Pelodiscus sinensis: one gene and its partners. The protein of the gene in region 1 interacts with the protein of each later gene in a biochemical or structural test. Links are inferred from orthologs where the notes say so. Each region holds a gene or a part of one and is shown in the gene's direction. Other genes may lie near its edges. The genes, in order: KHDRBS1, HCK, YES1 and LYN.

Region 1 (7,631 bases):
TCAAATACAAATGGCAACTACTGTGTGTTGTCATCACTGCAGCTCTCAGCACAGTCCTAGCACAACAGCCCCAGCTGTGATGTTATCGCCAAGCCGTGTGTACTCCCAATTAACATTTATACTAGCCCCCAAAGCACCACCCTTCTACAGCATGTGTAGCAGGTATTGGGGTTAAACACAGAGCAAAATTTTTTTTCTACTCTCTGACTGCACAAGAAGCACATAGAATACGGACTTAACAAGAGACTGAGTGTTAAGATGGAGTTGGAATTAGGCAGCCATAACTGGGCAGTTGGAGCAAAAAAAAGAACAAAAATTAAGGGAGAACCACAGGATCCAATAAAGAGAAGAGAGGCAGGGAACACAAGCTAACAGGCAACTTGGTAATGTGTGAGATGTATGGAGTTAGGGAGGTGAAACAGACATGATCATGCCTGGAAAGAAAAACATAGAGTGACAGAGAGAAATGAATCAGCGGCCTTGTTTTGAAAACAGCCCTGTACAGGCAGGCAGGCTCAGGCTTCTGCTGTCTAAAGGTGTGTCTACACTACCAGAAGCACCACTTTGGCCCCGCAGCTGTCCTGCTGCAGCACCATAGTGTAGATGCTTGCTATATTGACAGCAGCGGGGTTTCCATCAAAGAAGGTAATCTGACCCAGCGAGAAGCAGCAGGTAGGTGGACAGAAGAATCTTTGTAGCAGGGGGCTGATTTTGGACTGCAGAACCAGTGTGCAGGAGGACAGAGAGTCTACTCTTGTATCTTCCTATTGAAAGAGCAGGCAAATGACTGGCACCATGGTGGCCCGTTAGCAGGAGCAAGGATGGATTGTTTGGAGCAGAAGGTGCTGGGCCGATGGGATGGCATAGAAGACGTGTGCTCTGGGAAGGACAGGCAGGGAGAGGTGAATAGGATCCTGGGTGAAGCATTTGAGAGCTATGTCAGAGATGTGAAATTGAATTGGACAGATGGAAAGGGAGAGCGCAACTGAATCAGGAAGTGAAAGCAGAGAAGAGGGCAGAGAAGGAAGCCCGGATGGTGGATTCAGCACAAAGAGCCGGGGCAAAGTTGCTGAGAGAAAAAAAAAAAAGGACTGCCCCTTTTGCCCTTTTAAAAGGAGTCCCCAGTCGCGTTTGGTCGAGCTTTCATGGCTGCGCCGTGCCTAGGTTAGCACAGGGAGACAGGAGGAGAGGGCCGTTTTGGGAGGCGCGGGGGCAGCTTTTGAGCCACCGGGGGGGGCTTCACGAGCCACACCTGCGGGGGGGAGGGGAAAGAACCTTGGGTTGGCCACCCCTATTCTAGAGCCTCCTGAGTGAACCCTTGCGTGACAGACCCACACACTATCAGGCATGGCAGGATTTTCTACAGTAGCCATAGCTTTTACAAACTGTTCATAAGAATGGCCAGACTAGGTCAGACCGAAGGTTCATCTAGCCCAGTATCCCAATGGCCAATGCCAGGTGCCCTAGGGGGAATGAACAGAACAGGGGATCATCAAGTGATCCCTCCCCTGTCACCTATTCCCAGCTTCTGAGAAACAGAGGGTGGGGACACCATTTTTACCCATCTTGGCTAATAGCCATTGAAAGACCTAACCTCCATGAATTTATTTAGCTTTTTTTTTTAAAATCCTATTAAAGTCCTGGACTCCACAACATCCTGTATTCCACTTTTCCACTGTGTTCCTGAACTATGAACCCATCAATCCATTCATTATGGGAGAATGGCTGGTCACAGTGGCATGGAGGTTTGTAGCTTCCAGGAACGGGGTCCTGCCAACCGGTAAAGGAATACTGACTTCATTAACAACACTGGCAGAGATCCCTGCAACCAGTGACCCACAATGTTTTCCTGCTGAAAAATCCCTTGGTGCAACTGTACTACTGGCAGACCAGGTGCCAGCTCATGCCAAAGGCCTGAGGCCTCAACTGAACACTGCCAAGTGCATGGCTGGAAACCAGTCTGGTCCACTTGTGTGTTAGTATTGCTACAATAGGTATCAGATTTATAGAAATGTATTTAGGCTTTATGGAATGTTTGAGTTGTTGCATGCGTTAATGTCACTTATAATATCTATATCCCATGTTATAAATTAGTATTTAAATGTTTGCTCTGATACAGTAAACTCCCAGTCAGGAGAGAAGCATTACCAAGTGCGGAATACTAGTTTTTCACAAGAGGTGTCATCTTCTGCTGAACAGAACACCCATAGATACCACAGAAGACACTGTGGAACACAAGAGGGAAAAAAACAAGGGATCTCCAGCTGCTTAGCTTGGGTTCTGTAAATAACTTATAGAACTTGCATATCACAGCAACTTCTATTACATGCCTGTAACTCGTTTGTGTATGTTTAATTGTTTTAACCTTTTAATTAACTTTTTTTCTTAGTTAATAAATCTTTAGTTAATTGTAGGATTGGCTAGCACTGTCTTTGGTGTGGGCTCTAAAAAGCAGCTGGAGTAAGTGAGTGGTCCTTTGAGACTGGAAGTAACCTGAATATTGTTGTGTTTTTTTATGTAAGGGCCCATCTGTCACAAAGGAAAGAATACCAGAGAGGCAGTATAGATTGGAGTACCTCATGGGACTGTCTTTGATTCCATTTTAAGGCTATTGTAGTGGTTGGTGAAATCTGAGTTCAGAATGCCCACCCAAATTGTGTGCCAGGCTTCTTCCCCTGAGGTTTGTGCTCATTCTCCAGATTCACTCTGGACTCAGCAATGTTACTTGATTTCATGGGGATTTGCAAGGAGAAAGTTCTTTCCACATTAGCTCAGCGTTAGGCCTCCTGTCACCATCACCTTATGTGTGGGATTTATAAACCCCCAATAGATTCAGCTGCTTCCCATAGTCTTTTTTCCTCCCTTGCATGGACTCAGCTCATTTCCAACAGCTTATTAGGGTGCTCTGCAAAGTCTGAGTTGCTGGACACTACTGGAACTGGATCAATCTCTGATGTCCTCCCTTCCAAGAATCTTAGATCCACTTCCAAAACTATGTTACTCTACCACTTAGAATTTAGGCGAATGCAAGACACTAAAGTGCCTTCAGGCAAGAGTGCCCAAGGGGTCGTGTTGTGCCTACTATAATTTCCCTAGAAGGCAACAGCCAACTCAACACCTGTTGCTAGTGCTTAGGGAGGATGACATGAGTTTAGGACTAGATCACCAGCCCTCCAGTGGCAATTTTCTTTGGTTGATTTGCTGTAAATATCAGAGTCTGTATGAGTGTGTGGTCTGACTTACACATTCCTATCCCATCCTACACTGTTCCCTGTATCCCCACAGCACCCCCCTACCTGAATCCCTTGTGTCCCCACTATACCCCATGCTCCCCACCAGTATCCCTACAACACCCACCCTGCCCTCACCCCATGTCAGTGGTGGGCAACTTGAGGCCTGCGCGCCACATGCAGCCTATTGGGGCTCCTGCAGACAAGCCTCCCCCCCATGTCTCCTCCCCCATGAACCTCTTACACACTAGGCCACCTGAGCCTTGCACTTCCTATGCCTCCCCTCTCCCTCCCAGCAAATTGCCTGTTTTGCGCTCTGATACGGCTCCCCCTCCCTCCCAGAGCTGGAACATTGCTAATCAACTGTTCACTGTGTTCCAGTTTTGGGAGGAAGGGGGAGGACAGGAAGCAGGAGGACGTGAGACAGTGCCACTGTGAAAGTGCTAGGCGGGAAGGGGAGGAGCAGTTGAATGGTGGGGGGGGCTCTGGTGCCCCAGTGCATGAGAAGCACATGGGGGGGGGGGACCTGCAGGCCCATAGGTGAATCTTAAGTTGCCAGGTGTCCGGTTTTCACCAAGACTGTCCGTTATTCAGGTCCCTCGTCCGGTAAAAAAAAAACACAACAACAACAACAACAACAACCAGACCTGTGAAAAGTCTGGTATTTCCTGTTTCTCTCAAACACAAGCCCAGCAGGCACAATTTTCCTCTGCCATGTCTGGTGTTGGCAGGGGAGTGAGGAGCCATTTAAAGGCAGTGCCCCCCCTCCCTTTTTTTCTCAGAATTATTCCCCTTTTTGGGGGTGAGGGGGGTCGGTATTTGTTGTTGAACCATCTGGCAACCCTCGGTGAATCCCCAGTGGGCCATGGGATGCTGTGACCTACTGAGATGAAGGAGAGCCACTCACGTGGCCCACCCACTATTCGTGGTTGCCCCCACAACACCCCCCCCGCCTGCAATCCCCCTGTCCCTGGGGTGTGGCCCCTCCTCCCGGCTGCGCCCCATGCTCCCCTTGGCTCCTGTCGCGCTTTCTCCCCTCGGCTCCAAACCCGACCACGTGGCGCCCTGCGCACCAGGGCTACATGCGCACCACAGCACGTGCCACATTCCCGGGTGCGGGAGGGAGGGGAGAGACGTGCACATGCGCACTACAGCCACTACGCTACGCCCTCAGTATTCGATCGAAGGGGGAGGGGGAGAGGACAATACGCATGCGCCCCAAGTGTAGCCGACGCTTTGTTCTCGACGCCGGGCGTTGTTTTGCGCACGCGCAGTGTACCTCCGGAGGGCGTCACCGTGCTGCGCAGGCGTATTGCTTCCCCTGGGTACTTTTGTTGGCGGCGGAGCGTGCGAGTTCCGGCGGGCGCAGCTCCCTTCGCCGCCAGTCTCGCGCGCTTTCGCCTTCGCGGGCTGAGCGCTGCGCGTGCGCGCGCGCGCAACGCGGGGGCAGGGCACGCAGGGTGACGGTTGGGCATGCGCGTCGGCTCACTTCGGCGCTTTGTTCTCGACGGCGGCGGCGCATGCCCGGTGCTGGCTGCTTCTGACGGGGGCGCGGGGCGAACGTACACGCCGCTCGGCAGCGGGCGGCGGGAGCGCAGGCGCAGTGGGCGAGGAGCCGTTTCCGGCCCTTCACTTCCTGGCCTGGGAGCCCCGGCGGTCGGTGTGTGGCAATCCTGTTCGCCCTCTCGCTCCCCCCGCTCGTTCGGCCGCCCCCCCGCCCCCTCTTTCCGGGCATGCAGCGCCGCGAGGACCCCGCCGCCCGGCTGGGCAGAGCTCCGGGCCCCGCCGCCCGGCAAGGGGGGCCCGCGCCCCGCCGGCCGCCCCGAGGCGGGGCCCGGGGGGCCGGGGCCCAGCCGCCGCCGCTCCTCCCGCCCGCCGCCACCGCCGCCGCCTCGCAGACCCCCACCGCCGCGCCCACCCCGCTCCTGCCCGGGGCCACCGTCAAGATGGAGCCCGAGAACAAGTACCTGCCGGAGCTCATGGCCGAGAAGGACAGTCTGGACCCGTCCTTCACCCACGCCATGCAGCTGCTGACGGCAGGTAGCGCGGGGTGGGGGAGGGGACGAGGCCGGGAGGGGGAAGGGCGCGGGAGAGGCGGGGGGGGGGGGTCTGTGTGTCTGTCACCCACGTTGTGCTGCTGCTGGCGCCAGGCGCCGCCGCCTACGCAACACCTCCCCCCTTCCCTAGGCCGCGATCCGGGGCGGGGAGGGGCTGAGGCTCCAGTCCTGGCCGACCCCGCTCTTTGTTCGGCGCTCACAGCTGCTCTCCCCGCCCCGGGAGGTGACTGGCTGCTCCCGGGGGGCAGGATCCTCGTGCAGCCAGGAGGCCGCCGACTGGCTGCCATGCGGCCGCTTCCCTCCCTCCGGGCCCGCCGCCGCCGCGAGCTGCAGGCGGTCGCCTTTTTGTCCTGGGCTCGCTCCTGGTGGCTTCTGTAAACTGCCTCCTCGGCAGGGTTGAAGCAGCGCGTGGAAAAGCTCAGTCGCCAAGGCTTGGGGTGGGGCGCGTTTTATCGTTGCGCTCGTTCCTGCTCTAATGCACGTTAGATGGATGGGTAGTTTTAATCCGGGTCGATATGGGTGTATCCTAAATAGCATCCAGCCCCAAAGATTAATTCATGGTTTGAAAGGGATCAAACACGAACCTATAACTTCTTTCTCTGAAAGCGTGATTCTCTTGGCTCTTTACATCCATGGGAAAGAGGAGACTAAAGAGAATGGTACGGCAGTAAACTCGGTTTTTTTATGTAGTCTACTCCTTTGAAATGTGAAATTGTGGGGTTTTTTAATTCACCACTATGAAAATCTGTATTAGAGCTTGTTTCATGCCTCTGATGAAACTAAATGGAAATGGCCATGGTAGTCTTTGTTCTGTGACTAGGCTAGCACTCTCTTCCCCTGATCATCACTGTCCAATCGCCTGGCGGCTCAGATTTTTCCACATCACTACAGCGCAGCTGCACTGTGGTCACACATAGCTGTATCAAGTAGACAGTTTTGTTTAAAAATAGTTGTTAGTGTTTTAACTTGTTCGTTTTTAAACCAACAGTTTACTGTGTAAAAAAAGAAAAGGAAGTGTAAACTGCATATAAAGGATATAATTTTTTAGATTAGAATAATTTAGCCCCTTGTTAGGATTGTTACATTTAAAAATATCTGATACTAGTGAAACTATAATGCATTCTTTATGAACTGCATTATTAGAAAGCAGTTATAATATGGCATTGCCAGTGTTAATATAGTAGACACATTACGTCACTCATCTCAACTCTTCATGTAAAAGTAGGAAAGTGCTGTTTAAAGCTGTCATCTTCGTTGTACTAGAGATTTGATGTGGCTCCATTCTGAATTTGTATCTTGGTGCCACTGATATTCCTCTTGGTTATGATAAATTAGATATGTGCTATTTCCAGGTTAATTAAAGGGTCTTCCTGAAATCATGTTTTTTCTGAAAACAATGTTTAAAGATGACTAGATAACCTGTTGACTAGACCAGGGTTTTCCAACCTATGGGTTGTGACCCGTAGTGTCTTCATTACATTTCAAAAGGGTTGGCAAGTGTCTCCCCAGGTGGCGCTCTTAAGGAGCCATTCACACATTCGAAAAGGTGGTGTCCCTGTCTCCCTCTTCCCTCTCCCGCTCCAGCTCTACAACTGGCTTAGTTTTAAGGAGCCATTCACCTGCAGTGGTACTCAACTTAAACCAATCAATTGAATACCATTTCAGTGACTAAGGCAGGGGTCTCCAACTTTTTTTAAACCCAAGATCACTTTTTGAATGTGAGTGCAATCCAGGATCTACCTCAAACCCAAATACCCTTGTCCTGCCTCCTTCGTGCTCGTTCTCCCTCCCTTTCCCCAGGCAGGGGCAGAGGGTTGGAGCACAGGCTCTGGTCTTGGGCTAAGGGATTTGGAGTGTGAGGGGACTCTGAGTTGAGCCTGGGGTGCAGAAGGGGGTTTGGGTCTGGGGGGGCTCAGGGCTAGAGCAGGGGTTTGGGGTATAGTGGGGTACATGACTGGGGCAGGGGTTCAGAGTTGGCTCCAGCTGGACACTGTTTACCACAGGTGGCTATTGGGTGGTGTTGCAGTGGGGCTAAGGCAGGCTCACCCCTGCCCTGGCCCTTCACCATTCTCCAAAGCAGCCAGAAACTCCTTTCATCCCAGGCCCTGTTGTTCCCCTCTCCCAGTTCTGTGGAGATAGACTACAGAGTGGAAGAAGAGGCACCCTGACATCAGCCCCCCATCTCCCTTCCTTGCTCTGTTTCACAAGTAGGAAGCTCCCTGGGGAAGGGCAGCTGAAGTACTGGCACTTGATAGGTGATCCTGACTGGTTTGGCTATCAGAGGCTCCAAGATCTACTAGTAGATCCAGATCTACTCGTTGGTGACCACTGGAGTAAGGAAGTA
Region 2 (7,997 bases), on another chromosome or scaffold:
GTGCAAGGTGGCTGCGTGCTGGGGGGAGCCTCCGTCAAAGGGGGTGTCTGACGTGGGGCCTTTGAGAGGGTGGAACGGTTCCCCCAGGTGAGTAAGTGACTTTCCAGTGCTGGAGGCCACCTGCCAGGAATGGTGCAACCCTGGTGACTGATGGTGACACACGTGCCCCATTGCACAAGAGCACACGGGGCTGGCAGGGACGGACTGTACAAGTCTGAATGAGCTATTGGGCGGCCGGGAGGGGCGTGTGAGAGTCAGGCGTGCCCGGCTGGCGGCGGGGGGGTGGCGCATCATTTCCTCTCTGGGCAGCTGATGGACTCCAGCCGAGGTCTCCCAGGCGGCGGCGAAGCGCAGCGCTCACTCTGTCGGTGCCACCAATGTGGAGTAATTTGCATTTCACAAAAGGAAGTTCGCACCCTGCGAGTCAACTTCCTGCTCCGCGACCAGCCGGCGCTGTTACCCCCATGCAGAGTCTCGCCCCCGCCCCTGCTCCCCCGGCTTCGGCGGCAAAACCTCCTGCGGGAGCAGGGCTGGGCGCCTCCCACGCTCCTGGCCAGCGGAATTGGATGTATCTGGCGAGGCGGTGGGGTCCAGGGGTAGCTCCTGGGCCCAGCCGCCCAGCTCCGGTCAGCATTTCCTGCACAGGGTGCGCCAGGCCTGCGCCATGCAGGGCTGGACACTCCCTCCTCCCCCGTGGTTAAAACGCCCAGGGCCTCTATGCCAGCGGGTCAGCAGGGCTGCTCTGGCTCTAGTAGGCGGCCGGGACGCTCTGCCCAAGCTCTATACAGCCCCGAGCACCCCTCCGGCTGGCCCACCCGTGGGGGGGGGAGGGGGGCGCTGCTCATCCCTGTCTCTTGCCTCAGCCTCCGGCACAGGCAGGGGGAAACCAGGAGCAATTGCAATAACAAAACTGCCCTTTCGGCTTCCCCTTCTCCCCCCCCCCCCGGGAATCCACCCAGCCCAGCTGTGACCCCCACGTCGCGCTCCGGCCTGTGCACACGTTGCATGCTCGTGCCACTGCTGCCAGGAGGGGGCTGGCGCTAGCTCTTGCCCCGGTGCCTTGAGGCCCTGCCCGGGACTGGGCCCCGCTGGGCAGGGGCTGCACAAAAAGCGAGCCCAGCTGTGAGGTGCTTCCCGTCAGCGGCTCTGGCCAGTTCCCGGCATTTGTCGGAGCACCAAGCCGGCCGGCGTCTGGGCTTCCCCGGGCCAGGGCATGGTGGGAGAGGCCTCCCCGCCTCAGCCCCTGTTTGCACCATTTCCTCCCGCCGCCCGCGGGCTTCATGCGGAGCAGTTCCCTTTTCTCAGCGTGCTGCACGTACAAAGCCCTGCCGCGGAGGAACAGGAAAACGGTTCCCGAGCAGCCCCGGTACCTGCCGCTCAGAGCACAGGGAAGTCCTCGGTGCTGACTGCGCCCGGGGCTTGAGCCTGCCTGCTCGCTTGAGACCAGCTCTGTTACCAACCCAGGCAGGAAGAGGTGGCTGGGTTAGTCTGAGGAGGCCCCCATCTGTGGTTCACTGGCCTGCTCTGCCACCCGTGCAAACTAGGGATGTTAACGACTAGTCAACAGGAGAGTCGACTAGTTGCATCCCCACACATTGCTTCCTCTATCCGATAGAGGCAGTAAGGGGGGAGAAGAAGGGGTACTGCAAAGCAGCAGCACCACACGGAGCCCGGGACCCGGGGCTCCGCCACTTTGAAACGCCGCCGTGGCATTTCAAAGGGGCAGGCCCGCCCTATCGACTAATCGAATCATTGAGGCAAAAATGCATCGACTATTTGATGACTCAATGAGACGCTACGTTACACCCTTCATGCAAACCCAGTAAGGCTGAAAATGTGACATCATCATGACTGCTTATGGGTTTGTCCCACACGAGACAGAGTTGAATGACAAGGCATGGGGTGGCGGGGGAGGTGGAGAAATCTAATGGAAAGCTAAAGCCAGCTCCCAGTTATCTGCCAGGAACCCCGTGAAGCAGTCTGGCTTAGCGGGAAGAGGTGCGCTGTGCCCACGAAAGCTCTTGATAGTCTCTGGTTTTGGTTAGTCTCTGAGGGCACGTCGACACTAGGAAATCATTTCGAACTAATAACTCCCGCAATAACTATTTCGAACTAGCGTGTCCACGCTGCCAGGAAGTCTTGAAATGAGTCTGAGGAAGCTCCCTTAAGGTCAGTGTGCTGCGAGGCAATCTGAGGTGCGCCTCGGAAAATAACAGAGTTCAAAATGGCCACCCTTAAAGGGCCAAGTGACCTTTCTTTTCTTTTCTTTTCTTTTCTTTTCTTTTCTTTTCTTTTCTTTTCTTTTCTTTTCTCAATAACTTCCCCTCAACCTTTTTTTTTAAATTCCCCTCAACAAAAAGTGGACACCCTCCCTCCCCTTAGCACCTCAGGGAGCACTGGGGAGTCGTTACTTGGAACGACTCTGGGGAGTCGTTATTTTGAAAGAGCAGCAGCGGTGCGTCTACATGGCCGCTCTTTTGAAATTCGCGTTCTTCCCCGTGGAAAGCAGGAGTTGTTAGTTCGAAATAGGCCCCTTATTTTGACATAGCAGGCTTGGCAGTGTGGACGCGCCGCTTATTATTTCAAAACAAGGGGAGCTGCTTTGCAATGGCTCCCTAGGGTGAAGCGGGGCGAAGGTGCTACAGGACTACTCGCTGGTTTTGTAAGCTACAGACGAGACTTCTAGCTTAGAAGGGTTTCTCTGTCCTCCCCTGCACAGCTAGACGAGCAGGTGTGTGGGGTACTGGTGGGTGCTAACGGCCGGCGATGTGTGTCACCCAGCCAGCCACAGGAACGTACACGGAAACGCCGGCTGGCCGTAGTTATTTATTTAAAACAACAAAGAAAGATGCAAATGAAGATGCAAATTTGGTGTCATTCTCAGGACTCCCGGGCAGCTTCCTGTAAGGCCGTCAGTGTCAAGATTTGGAGCAAGCCTGTCCCGTCTGTGTGTCCCTCCCAGACATCTGTCCTTGAGCTCATGCTTTCTCTGCTGGAGAATTGGCAAACTGTGTTACATTAGAGCTGCATCCCTCCCCTAGCCGGTGAGACACAGACCTCAACGGCTCAGGACCAGCGTTCCCTGTCAGCTGATCACTTGGGCGGCCCCCCTGGGGGAGATCCCAATGCCTCCCACCTGGTTAGCATAGCGCCCCCAGCTGGCAGCGTGTATTTCTATGGGTGGTGCCCCTCTGCACATGCCTCAGTGCACAGAACAAAATGTATTCCGCACATGGATGGAAACAATGAGAGTCAACATTGCTCAGGGGCCAAAGGAGTAATCAGGCGTCTCCACAGGAGAAACAAGCGTGTGAATTCAGCGGGCTAGTTACGGTTGATAGGGATGTATTATTCTCACAGCACAAGGGCTGGCCAAGTATTTTACCAACTGCAGTTGATTAATGACAGAGCCCAAGCACCCAGATTGGGTGATAATTAGACTCGTTAACAATTAAATCAAACAGCAGTTTAAGCCCTGGGTTTTCAAATGATGGGTCGTGCCCAAGGACAGGGAGAGGGATGTCGGGCGCTGGGGCTCGTGCTGCAAGGGGATCAGGTGAGCAGTGGGGGGCTGAGGCAGCTCCCTGCCTATCCTGGCCCTGCAGTCTGTGCTGCACCCCGGGGGGGGGGGACGCAGAGGGATCCCTGCACTGCCCCTACCCCCAGCACTAGTCCTGCACTCCCATTGGCTGGGAACCTTGGGGCTGCAGGACCAGGAAAGGCAGGAAGCTGCCTTAGTGCCCCCTCCCCCCCCCCCGCTGACCGGAGCCGCTCAAAGTAAGCCCCTCCCCCATCCCTGACCCCTCCCCAAAGCCGGAGTCCCCTCCTGGACTCCAAAGCTCCATCCTCAGCCCCACCCCGGAGCCCACACACCAGTCCCACAGCGTTGGGAAACATGGAACAACGTGCCCGTTTTTTAAAGAACGTCGGGTCGCCAGGATCAGCCCGGGACCGTCCCGGGAAAACGGGCGGGATGGGCGCTGTCGCCGGCGCGCTTGCCAGCAGCGAAGAAAACCGAACCCACTTGAGGCCCAAGCAGTCGGAGCGGGGCGCGACTCCCTCTGGCCTGCAGTTTCCTGCTCCGCTGAACTCAGCTTCCCCTTCCAGCTGTGGTCGCGCCTGCCGGTTCCTTCTAGGCTTCTGCCCCGCACTGGCCTGAAATGCTGCCTGTCAGGAATTCCTTTCGCCATCAAATTATGCTTCCCGGTGAACCCCCCCTCCCCGCCCCCCATGGGGTCCCTAGCAGCAAGCGCCTCCTGCTCCTGTCTCTTCTCCGTGGTTCCCACACGCAGGCCGAAGGGGCGAGCGAGGGAAACTTGCCCGGGTGGCTCAGAACGTGCTGACCGCGGTGCTATGCATGGGAAAGAGGTGGCCAAGGCCGGGCAAACACGAAGGTGCAGGAGTTCACTGGTGGCTCCATCCAGGCGGGCGGTGCCGGAGCGGCTCCAGTCTGGCTCCGGGAACTGGTCAAGAGCCATTTGCAAACAGGAGCCGTGCTGCAGGCGGAGCCAGCGGGGGTGAGCTGAAAGTGTGGCAGGAGAGCGCCCCATGGCGGCGAGGCCGGCCGAAGGTCCGGACAGTCTCCTGGGGGTTACGAGGGCTGATGTGGATGGCGTTCCCCGGCCCGGCGCTTTACACCTGTCAGGACGGCAGCCCTGTGTCTGAACGTCTCTACCCACCTCCTCCCTGAGCAGTCACTGTGGGACCAGGGGATGCTGGGGAAGGAAGGCTGCAGCCCCAGTGGGCCTCGTAAATATCAGCCAGAGAAGAAAACAGCCAGGACCCTCCACCCCCGGCAGCATCTGGGCTACACGGCCTAATGCAGGCGTCATGGCCTGCAGCGCAGGGAGGGGAAGTAGAGGGGCATTTCCTCTTTTCTCCTCCCCAGAGGCTGTGTGCTAGTTCGTGTTTTAGACGAGTGACCTTCCCCTGCCCCCCCCCCCTCCGCCCCGGTGACGAGACAGGTGCCCGCTGGGCAGGCCGGTGCAGTTAAGCAAACGCAAACTGTCTCAGGGCTGCGGCTGTGGCATCGCCGTCTATTTCAGGACGGGCTCCGCACGCCTGTTCCTTCCCCCCGACGCTGCGCTCGGGGCCGCCGGGGCATCGCCAAGGGGCCCGTGACCGCATGGAAAGGAACATTTTATGCCCTTTGTGACTATCGTGCCCTGCGATCTCCGTCTGCCGGGGACCACACCCGCCTGCTGGGAGGCTGCTAAAATCTCAGAACATGGCCTAGCCGCTTGCCCTGGTCTCTGAAGGGCGCCTGGCCAGAAAACACTGGATCCTGCCTCGCTCCTGCCGGCCGAGGATCGCAGAGCACTTTCTAAGGTGAGTGACGGCAGCATCCCCATCTTGCTGGAGCCAAGGTTCAGGGGTGAAATGGGGCGGAAGCCACATACAGCGTCACTAGCAGCACAGAGGCCGGTGTCTTGTTCCCAGGCTGTCAGGTCAGGGAGTTGATCCACCCACCCCGCCCCCCCATCAGAGGACACGGCCGCAATTAAATTCATGCCGTCTTTGATCTGAGGACAGGCCCAGACTGGCCTATACGACTCGATCTAACGTGAGGTCCTTTCATAAGCCTGGGGTGCTTTAGACCAAGTTTACTGCCAATCAAAATGTAACCCCGGGAGCTTGTTATTCATGTTACAGTGCAGCAATTAGTGTAGGTGTGTGCCACTTGCCTCCATTGTCCAGCATCACTACAGCTCAGCTGTGTGTCATATCACCTGTAGTACCAACGGAGAGTCTTCTTGGGGCGCAGGCAGCGAAGAGTGGTGATGTTGGAGCAGAAGCAGCTGAGTTTGGCCCCCGTTGTAATGACTGAGGTGTGCAGGGTGGGGACAGGCGTGACATCCTAGCTGGCCGCAGTGGGAAGCGAAGTGCAGTGAGATATGGAGACTCGGCACATGGGCGTGGACCCAGCTTTTGGGTTGGGGGAAAAAAACAATCGCTCCTTACACTTAGCACCTGGTGTCATTCTCCCTTTGGGGGTCTTAATCCTCACCATCTCCTCTGCCCATTTGTCATGTACTCACCAGCCTCTCAGGAACCAGCGTCAGCTCCCGGACCCACTGGGGAGGGTGAGGCTGGCAATGTACAGATTACAGGATCCAAAGCGGCATCTTGCAGCATGGCTACTGTGCAATACATCCCTGACTCCCATTGGTGTGGCTAATTGCCAGCTGGAAATACATGGGGGAGTCTAGAAATGGCATCGGGACACCAGCCACACATGTCTGTGTAATGAAGCCCAGCAGAGCCTGTGAAATATACAGACAGTGATCGTGAAAGGGGGATGTGTGATGGTCTTCCATGGCTCAGGATGTTGGAAGGCAGCAACTGTAGTGTCTGTATGAGATCACACACACGAATTAAGGTTGCAAAGTCAAACATGCAGACTTTAGGAAATACCTGCGTTAAGGATGCCTGTGCAACCTTAATTTACCCCCTTGTGTGTGTGCATGACAATACAGCCTTTAATTATGTGATGACATATTTGTTTCCACAGGCCCCTGACCTCATTCTGTGCCTCGGCCAGACAGGGCTCACTCAATGGGCAACAATTCAACATTTTATTTTATTGTTCTTGTTTGATGTATGCCCCCAACCCTTATATACCACTCTTGCAGGGGGATGCAAAAGGCGGTTGACTGTAAGCGCCACGTGCCAGAGGGTAGGGAGCAAACTTCTTGCAGGATGGGGGCAGGGCAGGAGGAGACTTCACCCGCTCCCCTGGCCCCCAAGCCCTGATTGGCCGGGGGGGTGGGGAGCAGGTCTCCTCCACACAAGGGTGTGTCTAGATGACAGGGTGTTGTCTACAAAGTGGACTTTTGTTGACAAAACTATACCTGCGTCTACACTACCACCGAGTTCTGTCGACAGTAAGTCGACAGAACGCAGCCGTTTTGCCGACGGCAGTAAACCTCATTCTACGAGGAATAACGCCTTTTGTCGACAGAGCGCTGTCGCCAATGGGGGCTATTGCAGCCACACTCTGCTTTTTCAAAAGAGAGCATCTAGACACTGTTGAAAAAGCGGCTTGCTTTGTCGACAGAACTGTCTGTCGTCTAGACGCTCTTTGTCCACAAAGCCTCTGTCGACACAAGCCTGTAGTCTAGATGTACCCTTAGAGTCAGCTGCCAGCTGTTCTGAACAGCTGGTGGTTCTCGCCGGGGCAAAGACTTCACGTGGTTCCCCACCCACAAACCAATCCCGGTCTACGGGTGAGGAAGCATGGAAGTGCCCTGGCCCCGCCCCTTCCACCTGAGGCCCCGCCCCTTCCACCTGAGGCCCCGCCCCTTCCAGGGCGACTTGAACTCCAGGTAAAAAATGATTACCCACCCCTGCCCCTCGTCAAGCCCCACTCTGAAAGGGGAATTACTCATTTCCTCATAGCCCTTCTCAGTGGGGCTTCATGCTTCTCATTGCATCTCCCTCAGATGGGGAACAGAGGCACCGAGAGATTGTGAAAATCTCATTTAGGGTGCCCAAATTCAGAGGCCTCGCACCGGATTTTGCAGCGTATGGAGCACGGCCGAGAGCTTTATCTGCAGCGGGGTCGGCTGCGAGTGCTCACCGCTTCCACAAATCAGGCAGGGGGGTCTCATGGGGGGCACCCGAAAAACGAGGAGCAGACAGTCAGTGACCACCCGGGAACCGCTCTGGCTTGAAAAAGTGCCACAGTCCCGGGGTCTCTCCAGTCCCCTCTCTGTTCCCGCAAGGCCGCCCGTATGAAGTCTCCCAGCCATCACTTGTCTTGGGCAGAGACTTGCCTCTCTCCCTCCTAGCTGATGATTTTTGCTCCCTGCCTTCCCCGTGCTATCCTCAGCAAGCCGGGCTGCCCACACCGGCCAGCGTCTGCACTTGGCTTTCTCTCTGAGGGCGAGGAATGAAGTCCCAGCTGTCCCTGCACTGCCTACCTCCACCACGGATGAGGAGCAAACTCAGCTGCTTCTGCTCCAACACCACAGATCCCTGCTACCTTAGCCACAGAA
Region 3 (7,903 bases), on another chromosome or scaffold:
CAGTGTGAATGCTCTCTTTCAAAATAGCACATCACTATTTCGTTGTGCTTTTTGTGTGAAGACACGCTATTTTGAAATAAGCTTTTCCAGAATATCTCTTCCAGAAAAGCTTATTTCTAAAGAAGCTTGCAGTCTAGACGTAGCCTCAATGTCCAGGGAGGTTAAAATGTTCCCCTACAGGTTTATGTCTGCTACCTTTCCTGATGTCTGATTTATGTCCATTTATCCTTTGGCGCAGAGACTGTCTGGTTTGGCCAATATACACGGCATATATCACATTAGTGGATGTGCAAGTGGATGAACCCCTACTGATGTGGCTCACGTGATTGGGTCCTGTGATGATGTCGCTTGTACAGATTTGTGGACAGAGTTGGCAACGAGATTTGTTGCAGAAATTGGTTCCTGGGTGACTGTTTCTGTAGTGTGGTATGTGGCTGCTGGTGAGCATTTGCTTTAGGTTGGGGAGCTGTCTGTAGGCAAGGACTGGCCTGTCTCCCAATGTCTATTTGAGCAAAGGATCATTTTCCAGTACAGCTTGTAGATTGCCAATGGTGCACTGTAGGGGGTTTAGCTGAGGGCTGTAAGTGATAACCAGTGGTGTTGTTATTTTCATTGTTGGGCCTGTCCTGAAGTAGGTGACTTCTGGATACTTGTCTGGCTTTGTCAATCTATTTCTTCACTTCCCCGCTGGGTATTTAAGTCGTAAGAATGCTTGATAAAGATCTTGTAGATATTTGACTCTGTCTAAGGGATTGGAGCAGACATGGTTGTATCTTAGGGCCTGGCTATAGACAATGGATCATGTGATGTGTCCTGGATGGAAGTTAGAGGCATGTAAGAAAAAATAGTAGTCAGTTGGTTTCTGATAAAGGGTGGTGTTTATGTGACCATAATTTATTTATACTGTAGTGTCCAACTTAAATACCCACCTGCTGAGCCAAATATTTAAAGAGTTATACTCTTATCAGTATTGGAAAAATCACAATAAAAGTAATTATCAACAGATTTAAGGCCAGTAATAGGTAGGAGATAATTGTTGATTTGTATATGTAATGTTCAATAGCTTTGATTTGTAGGACTTTTTATGTTTTTTTTTATCCACTTTTGTGACTGTGAATTCTTCCCTTGTGCAGACTAAAGTAATAAGAAACATGTGAAATGATGAATCATGAAACTGAGATTATAGGAAATGATGTTACTTCAAACCTTTATTGTATTGCATTGTGTTCCTTTGAACCTTTTCTATTTAAGGACTCTGATCAGTAAGCAGCAAACTCTCCCCTCAGCAGGAGTTGTAACTGAAGCACTTCTGAAAGACAAAAGATTGGGTTTTCTGTTTCACTTAAACATCAAAAAAATTACAAAGATTAAAAAAATAAAATATAGGGAGCCTTCTAAATCCTCTTCTCATTTGCAAATGTGGGGAAAAAATAAAGCAATTTTTAAGAGTCTCATAAAGAATTTTGTTATTGAAAAATGTAAAATCTATATTTAAAAACTTGCTCACTGAAATTGGTCACCGTCCTAATACAAGTTAGAGTGGGGAACAAAAAGAAGAGAAAATAAAGCTCTGCTAAGACCTGGTCTGCAGTGCTCCCTCTAAACATTTCTCTCACACTTCTAAAAAGTGTCTGCTTCTCCTAATACTACTGTGAACACTCCAAGGCTTCTCTTCCTTCTCATGACACCCTTCAATGTATTGCTGCTTTTCCTCATACCTCTCCCCACAAACTTCCAGGCCTCTCTCCCACCAGTGATTCCTGTCACTAACAAAATGCTTAAAACTTTTACCCCAAACGTCTACTGATCTTCTCTTCCCACCCCAAAGAAGTCCTCAGCGCTGTTCCTTGTACCTACAGAGGAGAATCTTAGATTTATAGGACCAGTAGAGATCTCAAAAGTTTGTTAAGTTCAGTTCCCTGCATTCATGGCACTAGACCTGACAGGTGTTTGTCTAACCTGCTCTTTTCACAACTTCCCTGTTCAATGTATTCCAGTGCTTCATCACCCTGACAGGAATTTTTTCCTGAAGTCTAACTTAAACTTCTCTTGATGTAATTTAAGCTAATTTCTTCTTGTCCTATCATCAGAGGTTAAGAATAATTTTTCTTCCTCTTCCTTGTAACAACCTGTTAGGTATTTGAAAACTTTTTGTCCCCCCTCTCAGTCATCTCTTTTCCAGACTAAACAAACCCAATTCTTTCAATCTTTCCCCATGGGCAGGGCTCGACATATAACACAACCTACTCGCCCATGGCGAGTAGATTGCAACCCGGAAGAGCCGGGTTCGGGCAATCTGCGCATTTCGGCGAGCCCTGCCCATGGGTGATGGTTTCCTTAAAACTTCTTCTCCAGACTTCTACTCATCATCTCTTCCATCATAAAGAAATCCTCAAAGCTGTTCCCCATATTTTCAATCATTTTTGTTGCTCTTCTCTGGACTTTTCCCAATTTGTCCACATCTTTCCTGAAATGTAGCACTCAGAACTGGACACAATACTCAAGTGGAGGCCTAATCAGCATGGAGAAATTATTTCACTCTGCTTCTCATATCTTACAACATTCTACTAATACATCCCAGAATATTTTCTTTTTTTGCAACAGTGTTACACTGTTAACTCTTTTAGTATGTGATCCACTATGATCACAGATCCCTTTTGCAGTACTCTTTCCTAAGAAGTAATTACCCATTTTGTATGTATGAAACTGATTGTTCTTTCCAAAATGGAGTATTTTGCATTTGTCCTTAGTAAATTTCATCCTATATACCCCAAACTATTTCCAGTTTGTCCAGATCATTTTGAATTATAAACCTATCCGCCAAAGAACTTGCAACCCTTCTCAGCTTGATATTGTTCGCAAACAGTATAGGTGTACTCTATTACCTAAATCACCGATGAAAATATTGAACAGAATCAGAGCTGATACCCACGGAAGACCACTCATTAGGCTCTTTGTGAACCATTGATAACTACTTTGGAATGTTTAGCCAACCATTTTTGCGCCCATCTTACAGTAACTCCATTTAGGTTACCAAATACAAGACGGTATAAAAAATTTTAATAACGTCTATATGCCATATGTACCACCACTTCTTTCCTATCCACTAGCCTTGTTACCTTGTCAAATAAAGATTGGTTTGATATTTGTCCTTGACAAATCATGCTATTACTTATCACGTTAGCTTCTAGCTGTTTGCAAATTTATTACTTAATTATTTGCTCCATTATCTTTCTGGGTACAGAAGTTAAGGACAACCCTGGGAATTACAGATCAGTCGTCTTATTTTTCTCTTTATATTTGGCCTTTTCCAGTCTTCTGGAGACTCTCCTGTATTCCACAGCTTCTCAAAGATAATCACTAATGGCTTAGATATCTACCCAAGTCAGCGCCTTTACTATTAGGAAGTAGTTCATCGGACTCTGATGACTTGAAGACATCTAACGTATCTAAGTAAATTTTTAACTTGCTCTTTCCCTATTTAAAGCTTCTGAACTCACTTTCACTGCCATTAACTATGTTAAGCATCCAACCACCAAGAACCTTTTTGGTTAAAACCATAACAAAGTCATCATTAAGCACCTCTACCATTTCCACATTTTCTGTTGTTTTACCCTCTTGAGTAATGGGACCTACTTTGTCCAGGCCTGCTGACAAGGTGTGTGCGTGTAGAGGGGAAGGGACACAAAAGAGGTAGTTGCTTGGGGCCCAATGATTCAAAGGGGTCTGAGGTTCCTGGCCACTGCCACACCTATATTGTGGCAGTAGCTGGAGCCCCTGGCTCTTTATATTGCTGCTGAATGCCACATCACATGCCCTGGGCAGCTCTGACGGCTGGCTGCTCCTGCCGCATCTTCTGTTGGAGGCCTTCCCACTTCCAGGAGCATGGAGCCAGCTCCCCTGATCTTGTCCTTGATTTTCCTCATGCTTCTTATGTATTTGAAAAATGCTTTCTTATTACTCTTTCTCTGTAGCTAATCTGATCTCCTTTTGTGCCTTGGCCTTGGCAGAGAGAGGCAGAGAGAGAGAGAGAGAGAGAGAGAGAGAGAGAGAGAGAGAGAGAGAGAGTGTGTGTGTGTTCATCTAAATTCTACTTTTTGAGAGGTTCCCTCAATCTTTCCAGATTACACTATCCCCCTCAGGCAAAATGCAGGACTAACACGGCTACATTTCTATTACTACCCCCTCAGAAGTCTGATTTGACTTGTCAGAATAGCCCCACGTTTCACCTAAAAACCTCCACCCCTTTTGCTTGTAAAACTAGCTAAATATCTAGATGAGCTGTTAGCCTCTGGAAGACGGCTCCGTACCCCTGGCTGAGAACCGCTAGAATACTCCCTAAAAAGGCCTCCAACCTGCTCCACCGCCGCCTTCCCCCAAACCCCTCCCTGCCTCCTCAGCCCAGCCATCCACTGCTGGCAGCTCCCCTGCTCCCCAGAAATCCCTGAGGAGCTACGGCTCCTCCTCCTGCTCATACCCAAACAGGGTTGCCTACCCCAGGGCCCTCCCCCCATCCACTGCTTCCCCCCCCCCAATCCAGGATTGCCCTCAAGCGCCAACCCGGCCTCCTAAATCCCCTCCCCCGTCCTCGGGGGCACCTCCTGCGGCCGGGAGGCCCCGGTGGCTGTAAGAACGGCGCGGCCACCGCTACTAGGGAAGGCGCCGCCATGTTAGGCCGGGCCGCTGAACTCGCGCTCCGTTGAGGGGGAGCCGCTGGCGGGGGCGGGGAGCGCCCCGGCCCCCCGGCTCCTCCCCGCGGCCTCTAAGTCGGGCTGCGGGCGGCCTCGAGGGGGAGGTTCCCCGGGCGGCCGCAGCGCCAGTGAAGGCGGGGGAGGCAGAGTCCGGCCGGGCAGGGGAGGCGGGGAGCCCGGCGGAGGAGGCGGAGGCGGCGGGTGGGGGAGTTTCCTTCTCCTCACAGCGAGTCTCCGCACGCAGCGAGCGTCCGGCTCCCTCCTCCCCCCTTCGCTGCCCGCCCGGCGGCCCCGGGAGGAGCAGGGGGCTCGAGTCCGTCCCCGCCGGAGCCGCTGCGGAGAAGCAGGTGAGGAACCGGACGCGCCTTCACCCTGGAGAGGCGGCGGCACCCGGCGAGCGCTAGGCCCCGGCCCCCTCCAGCCCCTACACGCGGCCGCCTCCTCCGCCCTGGCGAGACCCCTTCCCCCGCTGGCTCCCCCGTGTCCCGGGCGTTAGGCTGGGCGACGTCCCGCCCCCTTCCCTTCTCCCCCTGCCCACTTGGATTGACTGAAAGTTTCCCGGTAACTTTTCCCTGCCCGGCGGGGAGCAGAGCCCGTGTTTTCCCGTGCGGGCTACGGCGCGGCTGTACCCCGGGGGCCCATGTCTGAGGCGCGGGGGGCAGGAGGGTCCCGCTGGTGGCTCCCCTTTGCCTTCACGTCCCGTCCCTTGCAGGCGCTGTCAGTCTGGCCGCCTGAAGCCTGCTAACAACTGCTGTGGGGAGAGGGGTTTCTGCCTTCGCTGGCTTGGTGTGATTGAAAACCACAACGTGTTTCATTGTTTGGCGAGGGGGGAAGTGGGCAGAAGAGCAAACGAGTTTATTCAAGGCTCCACTTTCACTTACCACTCGTTTCGGTTTCCTCCCAGCAGGCGCCTTGGTGGAGGATAGTCAAGGTTTTCTTCTTTTTTGTTGGGGTTATTCCAGCCTATGTTTTACATTGGTATTGGGGAAGAGCGTTTGCTCCCGGACTTTAATTTTAACCACCTTGGTTAATGAGCGGTATACAGGGTTGAATTCCTGCTTTTATCAGTTCAGTTAAAACCTATGTTAAAAGAAGCACTGTGCCTTGGGGCTGTAAACAGGCAAAGTCAGGAAATGGAAAATTGATTTCCAGATCAGCTAACTTGGCCCTACTATATTATGTGGTATGGTGTAGTCTCTTCATTGCTAGACTTATTACGTTTGTGTGTCTAGCTGAGGCATGGTTACTTTACATTTCTTACTTTAATTTTTCAGTCATAACACTTCCCCAAGTTTTCTTTATACGTATATTCTTTAAAAAATTATATATAGTGAGAATGCATAGGCTTGTCCTTAACATTATACATTCTCAGTAGTCATATTGATTTTGCACTGCATAAAGTTACTCACATGAGTTCCCACAAGATAAGGGCCACAGGTGTGGGTATCTTATGCCTTGAGTTAGATAGTGCTCTTACATATGCAATTCCAGACGACTTGTACACACACAGATAGGGAGTGCTGCATTTTACATTGTGTGAGGTAACACTATAAAACTTTATTCTCAAGACAGTTTTTCACAAACATACCAAAGGATTTTTGTCCTAATTTAAAACTGAGTTTATGATTATTTGAGTTAAAATTAGCTATTTTTGAGAGATCCTTGAGCTAACCTGTCAGTTTGTAACAGAGAGTATTGGTAGGGAATGAAGTTGTTTGCTTTTTTCACATGCTGGCAGTTTCCTACCCTAAATGGAATTTGGTGTGATTTCTCTCACAGAATTCACCATTGACTGTAAAACCAATGTGAAACTTCACTGTAAATCATTATTTTTTTCTCATAAAATTATAAGAGTCTGAGACAGACATTTTTTATGAAATTGCTTTCAGGTAATGTTGTTATTACTATCAAAGTTCTCTAATACAGTTTTAACACAGCTAAATGTTTCTGCTAACTTAATAAACTGCAAAATTGACTCTTCCTGAAGAGTAGAAGTTGGGTTTCTCTTAAGCGAATACATAACTTTATTTACAAATAGTCCCACTGAGTTCATGTGCATAAAACTAAATATATACAAATGTTTTGTAAAATCAGGAACTTAATATGTAGTCCCAATCTGAGGAAGTGTTTGTGACATAAATGGAATATACACATCAAAGAAGGACAGCGTCAAGTTTCAAAAAAAAAAAACAACAGTTTGATTTTCATAAATTTTTCATTATATTGGACTCAAATTCTGAAAGTTTGAAGTTGTCCTTAACATAGATCAGTATCAGTGGGAGAATAATTTGTCTACTATATATTTTAGAGTTTGTCTATTTGATCAAGAATTCCTCAAAACAGTAAGAGTTAGAACTAACAAATTCAATGTACAGCTTCCTCTTACCAAAACTTAAAGCAACGTAAAAGTTTGGTTGTGCAAGGCAAATGGGATGTTGGAATGGGATTGCTTTTCATAAAACCAAACAAAAAAAGAGACAAACGCCAAAGCAAGTTCAGTCCTCACAATTAACACAGCTGAGAGAATGTTGAAAGAGACTGAATCAAGATGAGCCATAAAATAAACCTTACAGAAAAGAGATAAAACAGAGACATTTGAAGTGTTTCTTTGTTTTGGCACTACTGAGCAAAGCCCGATAAATCTGCTGGTATTTTATATTTTCAAGGTGGTGTGTTTTGATTTTTTTGGTCCACAATCTATACCTATGACTAAACTGTATTTTGGTTCTATTAAAGAAAAGAACTAAATCTATTTTTAGATTTAAACTGAAAAATTTCTTAGAGGTGGATGAGGTTATATCTTTTATTGGACCACTTATGTTGGTGAGAGGGACAAGCTTTCAAGTTTACACAGCTTTTCTTCAGGTCTGGGAAATTAACTAAGCTGCTGTGGGTGCAGCAGGATTGTTTGTAAATTATGTACACATTAAAAAAGCCATGAAGGCTGTGAAGTCATGGTTTTTAGTGGCTAGCAAAGCTATGAATCTTCAGTTCTTAGCCCCATCTTTTAAAAATTTTGCAAGTTTCCTTTGAGGATGAGGACTAAGTCAGATATAGAGTGACTGCTTTCTTAAATACAGAAGCTTTAGGGGGTACCCAAGTTAGTCTGTACAGGATAAACTTAAAAAACAAGAAGTTTCTTAAATACAGTTTATAGTCTTTAAGGGAACAATACTGCAATCGCAGTGTTGTAGAGTATAGGGAAACCGTTA
Region 4 (7,651 bases), on another chromosome or scaffold:
GATGAGAAAGAGTAGAGGAGAAGCCTTCAGGACGGGCTCAGCTGCTTGTTGCGAAAGCTCAAGGCTGGAACTGAGAACTGTTTTCTTGGCAACTATTAACTTGTTGACTTAATCAGCGTGGGATTACCTAGAGTTCCTCCCCAAAAGCTACTAGTTAGCTCTAGGGTTGTAGATCCTAGGCATCACTTACCTCACCATCAACTGCAAAGTATTTCTTTATTGTACTGGGATTATTCTTTATTCTTGTATTTATTTGGGGTGTGGATGGATGTGTTCAATATCAAGCGTTTGGGGCTGTGTTTCTAAATTTACAGTATACTTACCTTTGATTTAAACATATCTGGTCTCTGGTTATTCATTCAATTACCAGTGATAGAGATATGGAGTGCCAGACGGGTCTCACTTCTGGGGCAAAGGCATGTAACACCATTCAGAACCTCAATCTCCTAAATTGTTCAAGTTACTATGTCTCTCAAGTAACAGAGTGTGGGTGTTTTCCTCGACAAAAGTGCCATTGGATTGTAAATGCTTTCAATGTTTTGTCAACAAAAGATACGTTTTGGTGACAAAACATGCCAGGGTAGACCAGGTCTAAGACATCCACACTACAATGCTGGCTCTGCAAGAAAACGAAGAAAAAAGTCAAGATATATTGCTTTTGCATTGGTCTTTTTTTTTTCCTGTTAAAAACAAAAATAAACTTGGGGAAAGACAGGAATTTTTTAAAAAATGAAATCCAGAAGACTACCAGACTATGAAATAGATTATAAAATAGGATAACAATTTGGACCTAAACAACTGTATATACTCATTCATTAGTTTGTTAGTTTATAAGTCGACCCACCCTAAGATGAATAGTTAAAAAGAACAAACCAATGGGGTATGACCTTTTCATAAGCCAATTCTATATTTCAGAGGTTGGCAAACTTCGGTTGCCGATTTGTCAGGGTAAGCTACTGGCTCATTGGGACATTTTGTTTACCTGGAGCATCTGCAGGCATGGAGCCCTATAGCTCTCGGTGTCTGATTCACTGTTCCTGGCCAATAGGAGCAGCGAGAAGTGGCAGCCAGCAGGTACCTTGGCCTGTGCTGTTTCCAGCAGTTCCCAATGGCCAAGAATAGTGAATCACAGGCACTGGGAGCTGAGGGACTCCATCCCTGTGGACACTTCAGGTACACAAAATGTCACGGCATACCAGTGGCTTCCCCTGATGGGCTGGGTACTGAAGTTTTCCAACCTTTGATCTACAATGACAACGTAGACCTGTTGATAAGCCGACACCTACTCTTTGAGCCACTTTTTTACCAAAAAAATTCAGCTTATCAACGGGTATATATGATATCTGACAGTTCTTCAATTAAAAATAAAACTAGGAGAAATCATTCAACCAATAACCATGTAAATAGTGGAATTTCTATAGGGCAAAAGTTCTCACTTGGCAATGTTAGACTCAAATTTCAAACCCCTAGTTCCCACTTTCCAAACCCATGTGTTTTAATGTACCTTTTATCGAAGCCCAATCCACAAACTGAAATATGCAAAAGCCCCGTCAGATTTGTTGACTTATTATGGAATGTTCTTCTTCGGGTGATGTCCCTGTGGGTGCTCCTCTGTTGGTGACAGGTCATCCCCGGAACCGCAGTTCAGAGTTTTTCTTAACAGCTATTAGCTGGACCGCACATTCACTGAAGGCAGCTCGTGCTGTTGGCGGTTTGCCACCATTCATATGCAATCCTGCTCCCCCTTTCAGTTCCTCGCTAACCACCCTCAATCACAGACAGAGGGGAAAAAAGAAAGAAAAGCACTGCTTAAAGCCCTGAGAACCGGGCATCGTAGAAGTGCCATCAGTGTAATGACCCCATACCGGCTTTGGACAGGCATGATGCCTGTATACGCTGTTTGGGGGAGTCGCATACCCTCAAAAAATGTGATCACTGCCAGAGCCTTACGACAAGGGCTACAAAAGACCAGGAGCTTTGGCGCCATATGATTCTTTTCAAGTGGGCTCTGCAGGCCTCAGAAGGGTCTCAGCCCTCTTTGACTCCAGGGGATCTGTGGAAACACAGATCTGTGTCTCCCACACCTCACAAATATCTCAAGGCGAGGGTCTCCCTGGTGAGGTCGTTGTCCCTGACCACTCCCCCCCATCAAGCCAGTGGAGACTCGCCAGGCACCACAGACAACTTGGTGCCAAGAATTCTAACAAGAGTTGCTAGAATGGCACCCCATGCTCACTCCAAGCTGGATCGTTCATCGTTGGCACCAGAGAGATCATGATGGCGAACCCCGGCACTGCCGCAAGTGGCACCACAACACCCAGCACTGAGAAAGAGTGGGGAACCATCTGTCACAGCCCCACAAGTCTTCAGCACTGCCTTCTGATGTGCTAATATCAGTGCAAATGCCTCCCCCGCCAGACTCGGCAGCTGTGCCGGTGCTGCATAATCACACTGGCCAACTTGAGGGCATTCACACAGCTGATGTTGAGAATGCTCAGCCTTTGCTATGCTCTCCCTATCGAGTTCCAGGCTACATTATGTCTCCGTTGTTACACAAAAATGCTGGAGTAGCTGACACATAATCAGAGGAACACCTTCTCCTCACAACACTCCTCTCCTACTACATCTTGTCATTTTCACCATTACCGAGAGGGACCTTACCACCCACAGTGGTACCCTGACTGACATTTTTCACCTCCCAATTGTCTGCCCCATTATCCACCCCAGTGGGCCCCATGGGACTATTGGAGACCTTGCAGATGCCACTCTACAGGCCCATCTGTGTCACCAAAGAGGCTTCCACCAGCCTCCCTATCCCATACCCTTCTGAATACCGCTGAATCCGAAGACAACAAGGAGGATCAATTCTCAATGAGCACATTGTTACACGAGCCCCGTAGCTTTCCTCGAGGAACAGTTCATCCTTATCTCCTGATGAGGCAGTAATACCTGAAGATACCCATTCTACTGACGACCTGAAACAATCTCAGGAACTTTTTAAGAGGGACCACTACTCAGGAAGTTCAGCTCCAGGAGGTAAAGGAGAAACAGCACCGTCTCCTAAAGAACACCTATCCCTCCTCTCAGGGAAGGATTGCATTAACAATTGATGAAGCAATAATGGAGGAATCAGACACATCTTTGGTGGTGGATGCAGTGAATCAACATTCACAAGCTCCTCAACTTAGGTCAGCAACCAGTGACAAAGAATATAAATAACTAGCTCTATCTGGCAAAAAATATATATTTCTCTGCCACCCTGCAGCTCAGAATTGCAAACTACTCTGCATTGCTAGCCAGCCATGACTTGGATGATTACTCCAAGCTTGCTGAGCTCATGGAGCACCTCCAAAAGATCCATCCTCAGGACAATAATTTGTGAGAGGCACACCATCGCCTGCACAGCACTACTATCAGCAATAGATAGTAGCTCACCAGCAGTGGTGAGGAGAGCCTCCTGGTTGCATGTAGGAGGTGTGCTCAGGGAGCTTCAAAGAAAGGTGGAGGATCTCCCTTTTGATAAACAAAAGCTGTTTGCTGCTAATACAGACAAGATCCTGCATAGCAATAAAAACTCTCGCACCCTCAGCATGTACACGCCACCATACCAGCAAAAGACTTATCTGCCATACGACAGGAACAAAGACACTTACTAGAACTGACCACAGCATAGACCACATGACTAATAAATCCAGACAGCAGCCTCAGAGGAAGCGTCAACCTCCCTCTCTGATCTTTCAATATATTTTTTATTTCTTATTAATAAATAGCCTATTATGGGAAAGGAAACTAATTTGGACTCTGACCCTTATGTCCTGGACATAAGTTGAATCATGATCAAAGCAAAAATGTTTCCATCCTATTACCTGCCATAGCCACCTCCTCCATTTAGCCTTTCAGATTCATAAGATATTGGAGTAGGGACTGCCATTTGCTATATGTTTGTGCAGCACCTAGCACAATGGGGTCCTAGCCTGGTTAGCCTCTAGTCTAGAGCTATTACTGCAATAGTAATATTCAGGAGTGCTAACAGTGCTGCTCTGCACAGTCATACCACTCTAGTTTCCCTGTCTCATGAAGGGCAGTCATGACATGTTAGCAACATATTTAGCTTGCATTCCTTCTAAACTTCCCTAGAGTCCTGGGTGCTCTAGTGGAGCTAAAATAGTTCATTATCCGCCAGGGGAGAGAGGGAACGGAAGAAAATGCCAGAATCCCTTACTCTTCCCCGACCCCATGCAGTCTCCTCTCCTAGGTAGCAAAGAATGAGCGGAAACAGGTGGTTGTGGGGCTCTCTAGAGCAGGGCACGCCACGCCCCCTCCCGTTAGCTGGAGGGAGGGCTGCCTTGTTAAAATGAAACCAGCCCCTAGTAATCTTCCCCCTCCTGAAATCCCTTCTCATTTATTCCCTGCTGCTGGTGGAAATACCTCTGCGAGTCTTGTTTGGGTCTTTGCTTCAGTCTCCCCTCTTAAACTCTCACCCAGTGTTTTGATTTCTTGATCAAAAGCTGAACAATACTTAACATTTTTCTTAAAAATCCTCCCTTCTCTCCCCCATCCCCTTTACTGATATTTATGCAAATTCCCTAATACAGTACCAGGAAGTAAACTGAAAACTCTCAGCCAACCCACTGAAACCAAGCGAAGTTCCTCTTCTGCTCTCTGGGGTGGCAGAGGATCGGCTTAGCTGCTCTGGACTCTCTCTCCCAGCTGTAAAATCCCGTGGTCTTCAAAAAACCAAGCGAGTAGCTTTTCCTCTTCCCGAGGCTCATCAGCTGGTTTGAGTTTGAACGGCAGCCTGGCTCCTGCCCCAGCTCTGTGGCTGAAGTAACTGTGGAGTTGACTTGCTGCTTCCAAAGTTTCGCATTCAGGGAAGTAAGTAAGCGTCTTTTGTCTCCTAATTTGGCAGTGGGTAGCTTGTTTGGGCGCCGGTGGCCAAGTGTAATTTCTGCGATCCTTTCCGAGCAGCGGGAAATGCAGGGAACAGCCCTGCTGGCAGGGAGCGGACTAAGGGGGCTTCCTAGCGTTTGTCAGAGGGAACCACTGAGAGTTTCTCTCTGGGGATCAGGGGTAAGGCATCTATTTTGCAGCAGTCCTAGTTGCTATGGAAACTGTCTCCCCTCCCCCTGGATTTACCTTGCACTGCAGATCAGAGGGAACTTTCATAATAGACACTTGTTTGTCTGTTGGATCAAACAACTTATCACAGGAGCTTGGGTTTGTGCTTTGTTTATTGGCTCTCCTAACACACTGTTAGCAACACTGGGACTTGGGGGCCAGGACTTGCCCCATAGATGCTGGAACTAGAGGTGCTTCCGCTCCCAGTGGTTTGAAGTGGTTTCCATTATGTACGGGGTTTACGGTTTGGTTCCAATCTGCCAGCTCCGCTATACAGATTGTTCCAGCACCTCTGACCTGCCCTATTGGCATACCAATCAGAATAGGGAAAACTCTACCTACGTATTGGTATAATCTTCCTCTAGCCTCCTATCTCCCCTAAAATAAGGAGAAGCAAAGTCTTCAGGGAGGAGAAAAGGGGGGCTGATTGAGGATATTATAGTAGTATCCCTGAATTAGCTAAAGGGCGATTGATGTGGCAGGTCATGAAACCTGATCTTTCCCATTCACTGAAGTGAACTAGAAATATTAAATGAGCCATGTCTAAAGGGTACAGCCAGTTCAAAAGAGGAAGTGTGACATTAATGGGCAGCTTGTGTTTCTGCCCCTTAAGGGAATGGTTGTTTGAACCTCAGATAAAATACATACAGCACATTAGTTAAAAGGAAGTGAGAGTTCTTTTCGGACTGGTTAGCTTTTCCTCTAGCCTGGGGGAAGGGGTGTAGCTGCAGCTTAAGCTTTCCTGTATGGATGGTTAGTTTCAGCTTTTAAGAAAATACAGCAATTTATTTAAGAAGACTTAAAAAGGGATTGCATTTTGATGTTTTACTATGCTCTTCAGGGATATATTGTCTTCAGCCAGTCTTGACTATTCCTAATTAAAAACAAACAACAAAAGAGTTGGTATGCTAGAAAGAAGGTAGTATTACACAATGCATTTTTCTTAGTCACTTTCACAAGTTCAGACAATAGGCTTGGTTTAATTAAGAGGAAAAAATATGACCTTAGGGTATTCTGTATTAAACTTTGGATTTTAAACCTACAAGCATATAGTAAAGTAATTCTGGAGCATCTTCAATTTAAAACTGCTCCCTCTCAGCTAGATATTGAAGTGTGCTTCTGTGCTGGAAAAAAAAGTTGTTGTGGTGTTCATTTCTAAATAAAAAGATACTTTGTAAGCTGCCAGATCTACAAATTCAGCCTAGAATCTGAAAGCCAAGCTGGTTCTTTCTCTGTCAACATCATCAACTAAATTTTAACTCTGCAGTTAGAACGTAGTTGACACCCCCTGTTCTTTCTCATTCAGGAATGAAGCTCATTTCAGAGGTCAAAACTAGTTTTAGTCACTGAAATAAAGAGCTATGACTGAGAAGACACAGAGAACAAACAAGTTGAATTAGAAATTGCCGTTTTTACTTTCGTTTTTCACAATGGAAGAGCACTTTAGATGTTTTTCAGCCAAAAAAAACCCCTAAACACTCTTCTCTCACACTCACTGCAAATCTCCCATTCCCATCCTACTCACCCAATCATCTTGAAATATTACAAATTGAGGGGGAAACTCTTTACCCTCATACAGTATGATTCCTGGGTGAGTTGGCTGTAAATGGTTGTATTGTAATATCTGACAGCAGATAAACTTTGGAACAGTGTAGTAACATTTACCAAGTGATAATATAAAAACCTGCAATTTGGAACTGTCTTAACAAAATAATTAAATTATATTGGGGAGCCCAGTTTTAACACAGAATTAACTGAATTGCTTTCATGTGAATCTTTCCTGTTCTAGTATTGGATGCAGAGCAGATGTGATGGTTTATGTTATTAAGTGGGGACTTCACATCTTCATAATAAGTAGTGACAACATTTCACCTGTGGATTGGAAAACAGTTTTCTCACTAAAAGTAGAAAGGATGAAATGAACTGAGAATACTGCCTATTAGGAGTGTATGGAAACACAGGAGACAATTAAAATTCATGGATTATTCAGCCAATAGGTCAAGAAAATGAGAAACCTATTTCAAAATTAATATTATAAAGCTGGCACTGGATAAAAATTACATAAAAGTTGAAATGTTTCTTGATTTGAGGATGTTTTTCATCAGTAAATGTTGAGATATATCTTGCTTATTACATCATTACAATATTTTGCCAATTACTGTAAATTGCTGGATGTAAAGGGGTTCCGCTTTTCCATGTACCCCTCTGGGTAAGCAAGACTCCTTGTTACAAAGACACAAACAATGGCAGAAAGGTCTTTTTTAATATTTTGATCAGTAAAATCATTCAGTGGCTGTTTTTGTAGACAATACTTTTGACTGCAATGATTAACTATCTGCTAATACTAGGCATTTTTTACTCTATTAGCATTACAGTTTTCAGATGCGTTTCACCTGGTCCAAACTAGTGGATGGATTTTCGACAAATTTTTAAATCTTTGCTTCCTGATTCTGTCTCTAGAAATGGCACACCTTGTTCGGTGACCCTCTTGCAAGTTAAACTGCAATATGCCCTTTTTATAAGGGAGACCTCT

What was found.
Region 2: the proteins of KHDRBS1 (region 1) and HCK interact in a biophysical measurement, tested with the Homo sapiens proteins (2 studies listed by BioGRID and IntAct, with this or other methods). The link is inferred for Pelodiscus sinensis from reciprocal best matches to the Homo sapiens genes KHDRBS1 and HCK.
Region 3: of the proteins of KHDRBS1 (region 1) and YES1, one has a biochemical effect on the other in vitro, tested with the Homo sapiens proteins (2 studies listed by BioGRID, with this or other methods). The link is inferred for Pelodiscus sinensis from reciprocal best matches to the Homo sapiens genes KHDRBS1 and YES1.
Region 4: the proteins of KHDRBS1 (region 1) and LYN form a complex in vitro, tested with the Homo sapiens proteins (3 studies listed by BioGRID and IntAct, with this or other methods). The link is inferred for Pelodiscus sinensis from reciprocal best matches to the Homo sapiens genes KHDRBS1 and LYN.

The regions. Positions count from the first base shown.
Region 1 is NC_134735.1:3,883,464-3,891,094, reverse strand, and holds the start of KHDRBS1 (KH domain-containing, RNA-binding, signal transduction-associated protein 1), read left to right. Parts: upstream 1-4,618; 5' UTR 4,619-4,963; coding exon 4,964-5,270; exon of another isoform or gene 5,271-5,289; intron 5,290-7,631. UniProt on the Homo sapiens protein: Recruited and tyrosine phosphorylated by several receptor systems, for example the T-cell, leptin and insulin receptors. Once phosphorylated, functions as an adapter protein in signal transduction cascades by binding to SH2 and SH3 domain-containing proteins.
Region 2 is NC_134728.1:1,500,037-1,508,033, reverse strand, and holds the start of HCK (tyrosine-protein kinase HCK), read left to right. Parts: upstream 1-4,991; 5' UTR 4,992-5,328; intron 5,329-7,997. UniProt on the Homo sapiens protein: Non-receptor tyrosine-protein kinase found in hematopoietic cells that transmits signals from cell surface receptors and plays an important role in the regulation of innate immune responses, including neutrophil, monocyte, macrophage and mast cell functions, phagocytosis, cell survival and proliferation, cell adhesion and migration.
Region 3 is NC_134712.1:79,910,689-79,918,591, reverse strand, and holds the start of YES1 (tyrosine-protein kinase Yes), read left to right. Parts: upstream 1-4,903; 5' UTR 4,904-5,038; intron 5,039-7,903. UniProt on the Homo sapiens protein: Non-receptor protein tyrosine kinase that is involved in the regulation of cell growth and survival, apoptosis, cell-cell adhesion, cytoskeleton remodeling, and differentiation.
Region 4 is NC_134712.1:64,564,164-64,571,814, reverse strand, and holds the start of LYN (tyrosine-protein kinase Lyn), read left to right. Parts: upstream 1-4,645; 5' UTR 4,646-4,879; intron 4,880-7,651. UniProt on the Homo sapiens protein: Non-receptor tyrosine-protein kinase that transmits signals from cell surface receptors and plays an important role in the regulation of innate and adaptive immune responses, hematopoiesis, responses to growth factors and cytokines, integrin signaling, but also responses to DNA damage and genotoxic agents.